Linked DNA regions of Mytilus edulis. The protein of the gene in region 1 purifies or fractionates together with the protein of each later gene. This does not show direct contact. Links are inferred from orthologs where the notes say so. Each region holds a gene or a part of one and is shown on either strand. Other genes may lie near its edges.

What was found. Proteins that work in one complex are often made in the same cells at the same time.
Region 2: the proteins of E3 ubiquitin-protein ligase HECTD1-like (region 1) and coatomer subunit alpha-like purify together in Homo sapiens (affinity purification with mass spectrometry, with the first as the bait; 3 studies listed by BioGRID). This does not show direct contact. The link is inferred for Mytilus edulis from reciprocal best matches to the Homo sapiens genes HECTD1 and COPA.

The regions. Positions count from the first base shown.
Region 1 is NC_092346.1:80,551,630-80,555,388, forward strand, and holds the start of E3 ubiquitin-protein ligase HECTD1-like, read right to left. Parts: upstream 2,649-3,759; 5' UTR 2,220-2,648; coding exon 2,080-2,219; intron 748-2,079; coding exon 513-747; intron 1-512. UniProt on the Homo sapiens protein: E3 ubiquitin-protein ligase which accepts ubiquitin from an E2 ubiquitin-conjugating enzyme in the form of a thioester and then directly transfers the ubiquitin to targeted substrates.
Region 2 is NC_092345.1:20,017,811-20,021,569, forward strand, and holds the start of coatomer subunit alpha-like, read right to left. Parts: upstream 2,320-3,759; 5' UTR 2,196-2,319; coding exon 2,156-2,195; intron 1,092-2,155; coding exon 978-1,091; intron 1-977. UniProt on the Homo sapiens protein: The coatomer is a cytosolic protein complex that binds to dilysine motifs and reversibly associates with Golgi non-clathrin-coated vesicles, which further mediate biosynthetic protein transport from the ER, via the Golgi up to the trans Golgi network.

The sequences.
Region 1 (3,759 bases):
ATCTCTGAAGAAAGGGATTTAAAACAGATGCTTCATAATCAGGGTCTATCACAGCATAACATGAAAAAATACTCAACAGTAAATTACAAATGTAACAAAAATACAATGTCACTCATCACAGTTACATATGCATATTTTCACTTAATTCATTGGATTTGGCAAGAATGAAATACTTCAAAAGCTTAACTTACAACTTTTTTTTTTAACATAATGATATCAAGACATTTTAAACACTTATTGCACTGATTTACCTACATGTACAGTACATGTAACATTATCTAAAGAAGACCTTATAATTCTAATTCTAGGACGGATTTATCAAGTCTGACTGTAACATTGTAATTCCAAGGGTACCTGTTAAACTTCATACATGTACAATGTGGTTATAAGGAATTTCAAATACAATTGATATAAAATTAAAAGGGATCAGACTTGGCAAAAACCATTTATAAATAATGTAAATTTAAACATGGTGAAAAACATGGGTGATTTTCATAAGCATTTACATGTACCTTTATACATTGTTCAGACAAATCTCTACTGGTCCTTGATGACATTTCAACAATCACCAGTCTATTGCATAAAGCTTTAATAGCGCCATCTACAGCAACAATACGTCTGGTGCACTCTGCCGATACATCTAAGTAGTAAGTAATGGCCCTTGCTGTCACCTCAAGCACGTTGTCTGGAGCACATTCATCCAAGAAGATACGACATAAAGCTGGGAGAAATGTCCTTGGTGGACAGCTGAAAAAAAAAACAGTTTCTTAAAAACATGTACATGTACATGTTAACACAGAATTATAGAGTTAAAACTTTAATAGACCTGTCCTTCAAAAGATGTCTGATTTTCTAGACATAAGGCCACACCAATTTGATTTGTAGTGCTTTCGACAAATGCTCCAAAAAATATATGGCAAGCAAGCAAAATTTGTTTGATTGTAATTTATTTTTGTTTGACCAATGAGTTTCTTTAAGGCGACTGCTCTACAAGCATGACAAGTGAAGAGAGCAGCAATACTGCAATATACTTTTTTTTAAATTGTGCGAGTAAGAATTTATGTCCATGTTAAAACTGTGTTACTTCATAGAAAAACAAGGAGAAGCGTGCTAAATTGCATATAGTTATATTTACTAGTGCCTGTACCACAACTGACTTTCCTGTCTTGCTGTGGTTTAGTTAATTTTGATTGTACATGTACATGTAACCCTTTTCACTTTGAATTATTTTTCCTCAATTCAAATTTATTTTCCACTGTATATCCGATTTCAGGGATTGATCAGAATATATTTCAGCCATGATGAGAACATTGACAATTTTTAGGGTATCTAAAATGTACATGTACATGTATTTGAAAGTTTAAGTACCTGGACATGTACATTGTATGAAATTTCTTAAGCCTTATCAGAATGCCACTACTTCATGTACTTTCGCTTTCAACTTCCAACTGCAGCATTACACATAAGCTTCCAAACTTTGTTTTATTTCTGTCACAGTGACTCAATTCATTTAATTCAATTCAAAGCTTTAGTTATAGTTGGCATGATACATAACAAATAAACAGAGAGCTTTTATAACCGACATATCCATACATTTACATAATAATCATACACAATACTAATAATAAAACATAAAAGACATAGAACATACATTTCATGCACATTGACATGTAGTTCTACATGTGACAATATATTCAGTTTGGTTATAATATATGTTATACATGTACATGTTACAGTGTTATCCCCAGATATTTCATGTAGCATCCTGGGTAACAGGGGAAATCGAAACACCATCATGTATCTAAAAAATATAGAATCACACCCATAACACAACCTATAAGACAGTCTTCACGCTGAACTGCTAAATCTACAGGCCTACAGCTCAATTTTTGAAATTTTTTTAGTTAGATTCTGTTGGCCTGTAGGTCTGATTTTTACAGGCCTGAGAGCAATTTTACCAGCCTGGGCTGCCACTCGTCGTGAAGACTGATAAGATAACCATTGCAGATATTATCACATAACCATGATATGAAAAGGTCCTGGGGAGAACACTGCATGAATAAATTATATAAATTTTACCTTTCAAATACTCTGTCAACATTGTCAGACATCAACAACAGCATACACAGTTGTTCTAGGGCAATCTGTTGCATATCTCTTTCGTCTCCCTGTCCCATTTGCAGCCATTCTAACAACGTCTCTGGGTCAAAGTCTGCCATTGTGTCTGGGGGTCTGGTCTGGCTTACCTTTGTCTAAACTTAGTTTAGACCTCTAAGGTTGAAACCCCAGCAGGGTAACCCCCTTTTTTGGTAAGTTCAGATAAATAACTTTACTCCAACCTATCACGTTTATGAGTACAATAAGTGACACGGAAATTCTTTGTGACTAATGAATGAGCACTCGAAAGTGCATGCATTCGACGCAAGGAAATTATCCGATCATACAGCTTGAAACCTTCGGACTTTCTTCCGTGTCAAATGACTGAACACATGGACTGGAACAAACTCTTGTGTCCTTTTACAGAAATTTCAAAACATTTCCACTAAGCTATCTACTACTTTAGTTATTAAAAGAAACAAAGGAAGGCACTTTTGTTTTGCTCTTCACCTTCATAAACTATTTATAGCCTCGTTGTGATCGCAACATCCGGTTCATAATCTAAACACCGGAAATGGCTAAAAAGTTAATTTCCCGCGGATTATAATTTAATCTTTGCTTTGTAAACAAACAAATAAAAGCTTCCTAAAATAATTGTACTTCATCATTTTTCAACATTTCTCTTTACTTTTTTTACAACATATCCACTTTTAAAAAAAAACACGAGAAAATTGTATTTAAATTCAGCATTTTTTTGTCACCATGTGAAAAACTTGAATGTTTTAAATGGATTACGGACACTTGGTGGTCTATTCAAATCATTTGTTAGTTTTGACTTTTCCACCCTCTACAGAAATAAAGAAAAAACGTTAATTTTTTTCTCATGGACAACATTTTAATATACATGTACTTTCGACAATATTATTGACAAGTTGTTGGCTTTCCTACAATGAGGGGGGATAAGACCTTTATCGGGACTCCGGGATCGGGTGTTTTTAAGCTCGGGATTTCGGGAGTTACTACTTCGGGATCCGGGAATTTTTTTTTTCAAATTTCGGGATCCGGGATTTAACTTTATTTAAATTCGGGACCTCGGCATTTCGTGTTTTTAAGCCCGGGATTTCGGGATCAGGACCCCTCCTACCCCCCCCCCCCCCCCCCCCTATAATGGGCACAAATTGCAACCCTTTCATGGTATCGGGTCAGTTCGCCCAAATAACATGTTCGTCCTGGGTCCGTTTGCTCTGAGTTCGTTCGCCCTACTTAAAAAAAAATAAACCAGGGTATTGGAGTTGATATTCAGATAATTATATGGTTTATATTCTTGAAATTTATGAAAACATGGAAATATTTAAAAGTTGTTGGCTAGTTTAGGATAATTTTAATTAACTAATTGTTCAATGACTTGATAATTCTCACTGATTGTTGTGATACTTGTCTTTTGATGGATTAATAATAACAACAGAGACATATATATGTAAAATTGAGAAAGGAAATGGTGAATATGTCAAAGCGACAACCACCCGACCATAGAGCAAACAACAGCCGAAGGCAACCAATGGGTCTTCAATGTAGCGAGAATTCCCGCACCCGTAGGTGTCCTTCAGCTGGCCCCTAAAATATGCATAATAATACAGTGATAATGGACGTCATACTAAACTC
Region 2 (3,759 bases), on another chromosome or scaffold:
TTCTCCATTGTAAATTCATATATTAAATCCTCATACTATCTATGTATAAAACTGAAGGAAGAGTCTTTTTCTATGATGGATCTACACCAGACTGCCTGTGCCAAGATTTCTTAGCACCATCAGGTAATGTTGCAGAACATGTAGGACCAACAATAAAGTCATTGTCAGCTTCTGTTTGGTTTTGTAACAAACTGTAGCAGTGTACTGTTTACCTTACGACGTTTGACAGGAATTGACATTTTTTAGCATAAAGATTTCTCATTTTTATGACCTAAACGTTTTATAATATTTAAATGGCCTCATCCAAGCTGGACATCGAGAAAGTAAAATTTCTCAAGTCGTATCAGCTTGGGGTTTGTTTTGCTAATCATATCCTCTCAAATTGTTATCAAATGGAAGAATTTCTGACTAAATTATAAGTTCGAATAGGGGATAATTAATATTTAAAAGACTTGGTCATTTTCGGGGTTCGTATGGATAGTAAACCCTGCAAATAATTTGTAACAAACCCCTGTGTTTGATCGTTTTTAAAATGATCGTTTGTTCAAAGTTCGTAAAACAAGTTTGTGAGTGACGTCAGGAAATGCGGTCAATTCATTTCATCACATTTCATTCATATATGCCTCTATATTTTCTTTAAATTAAAAAAATCGATGTCAATGTTGAAATCTGTATTCTGAAATCTTTGTTTATTTTGATCTTCCAAAAACGCCATTTTTGTAAAATTTATTAGACTGGTCCTGTGAAGTTACTTTAATACAACGGAAATAATTCATTCAAAAATCGTAAACCAGTCGATCACGTGATCCGAAGTGAAAAATAAGCGGGAAATTTGAAAAAAATATAGCGACGCCGTTGCGTTGGATAGCGCTGCGGTCAGTGCAATAGGACAGCGGGGAATTGCAATAGCGCTGAAAAGTGCTGTGCTAAAACGGCCTGGGGAGAACACTGGTACTATAAAAGGTATAATGTATTACCATCATGTTCATCAAACTTGTCGATCAATGTACACATTCTGTAGTCCCATAACTGGATAACACCATTGAATAAACTTGTCAGCACCCATGGTCTCTTAGGATGAAAAGTAAGACCTGAAATAGCAAACATACAGTTTCAACTAAGTGTGATATCAACAGCCTTAAACATCAATACGTACATTGTAGGAATAGGTAACAAAAAAAACATTTAGCACAATGACAATGATACATAAACTAACAAACAGATGAGATTACCCATAGTCATTTAGATTCTGAAAAGGCGAAATTTCACACATGTAAATATTTTTTTAATGAGCACCATATTGAATGACTTAATTAGTACTTGCGTGATGGGTCTTAAACCCTTTGCATTTCAATGATGTAGATGTAGGTTTTGTATCAAACCATCATAAAATCTACGAGAAGAACACAACCTGTATCATGCCAACAACTGGTTTTAGAATATGTGTTTATTTCTGAGGCAAAGACCCTATGAGTGCGGTAGGTCTTTTTTAGCACTGAACACCATCAAACATGGCAGCCTTTTTTTAAATTTGATTCTCAACTTTAATAATAAAATCACTAAAAATGCACATAAAAATATGAAAAAACATGAGAAATGGGAATAATATTACATAATTTAATTGATTTGTTTTGTGAAACATTACTGTTTTCCTTAAAGTTTAGTGGTCTTTTGGAGTGTTCGGTGGTGGTAGGCGGTGTGCAGTGATGTTCGGTGGTGAAAAGACAAACCCCTATTAGTGAATCAATATTTATAATATATCAAAATATACCATCTTTAAATTATGACCTGCAACAGTATTGATATTTGATAAGACAACATATTCATTGTGTATATTGATATTTTCAAAGCACATAAATAAAATACATTAGTGATTTTAATTTACAAAAGCGAATAATTTATAAGAGAGATTACCCCAGGTGTCATCAAGAAAAAAGATTGAAGATCATATTTCGTTTAATAAATGGGTCAAATTTTCTAAATAGTCCACGTATGCAGACAATGTGTAATCATCGGATGTCGATGATATATAATTTGTAAGATAGAAAAATATGCCTGTGTCTATGATTTTATGAAGTTTTGTCACATTTTAAAGCGTCTACACCTTGTAACTGGAAAATAAAGCCTTTTGGACAAAAAAAATGCTTTCATTCACCTTTCACTCTTGCAGATTTGGTTTCAAATTTCGTCAACATAATGCCATAAGATGATTCTGTTACTCGTAAATAACTATAATTTGTGTACAACCGGCAGAATTTCCACTATGGCAGTTCCACGTAAAACCGGAAGTTACTGTTTTGACTGGTTCCCTGACCGAGTAAATTGACGGTAAGGGAGCAATCATTTCACCTCAGGCTCTGAAGAGGCTCTTGGTGGGAAATCTTTTATAACTTTATTATCGCATTATTAGCGACCAGCGAACAACAATAATAAATATCACCGCAGAATAAATATATGTACAGCAAAATAAAAAATACCATAATAAAGTAATTAAGCAAAAAAAAAAAATAATATGAAATGCTCTCTATTTTTAAGAATATGTGATTTTTTTAATGTTCCAGGTGGAATCCATATCGCTGGGTTTTATTCACCAGTTTTGTATATTTTTGGCAGTTTTTTCCTTGATAAGTGTATATATTTAGTGTTCTAATCAACTCATTCATCCAAATCATGTTAAGCAGTAAGGATTACTCTTGCTATATCTATTAAACATAAACTTTAAACAATCCAAACTCGGCAGTAAGGATATCCCTTGCTACATTGGACCGCCACTTCAAGACAAAATCAGTAAGGATTTCCCTTGCTACATTTTACATGCAACTTAACCGATCAGTAAGGATCTCCCTTGCTACATTGGACCAACACAACAGAAACAATCAGTAAGGATTTCCCTTGCTACATTGTACATACTGATAAAACCTCATAACAACAACAATCAGTAAGGATCTCCCTTGCTATATTAGTTACAACATGAAGTATACACTGTTACTTTTCCTAGCCAGCTCATTAGCCCTGCATATCATAAATGCACATACAGGGTCAACAAAACAAAATCTAGTCAACTTGCTAAACCCGAAATTACATCATAGCGGAAGAAGGCCAATATCATTACCAATACATGCAAGGCAAAACTTAACAACAGCACTGCTCATCATACTACTATCAGGTGACATTGAATCAAATCCAGGTCCAAAAACAGCAAACGTCTTCCCATGTGGTTTGTGTGAAAGACCCGTTACATGGTCAACAGAGGGAGTATGTTGCGATTGTTGCAGCATATGGCACCACCGCTCATGCATCGAACTGTGCACGACAGATTACGAACTTCTACAAAGATCAAACGTGCAATGGATGTGCTGCAAATGTGACAGCCTAAATGTATCCTCATTCACTTACCATGCATACGAGATTGAAAACATAAGCTATTACGAACCTCTAACAACAGATCTCAGCTTTATGGACACCTTTTCTTCATCATTTAGTCCACTTGTAACAAGTAGTCCAAAAGACAAATCAATTACCAAAAATCGGTCAGTTGCAAACAGTACAAGAAACAGCATAAAGGACACAACACCACCACCCTTTAACATCACCAATAAAAGAAACCTCAGAATCATGACGGTAAACTGTAGAAGCATCAAAGATAAAACCTCAGAATTCAAAACAACATTACACTGAAAATCTAAATTAGTCAATTTGACCAATTTAATTAGTCATTTTGACTGTCCTCTAGATGACAATGCACTTTAATCATTTTGA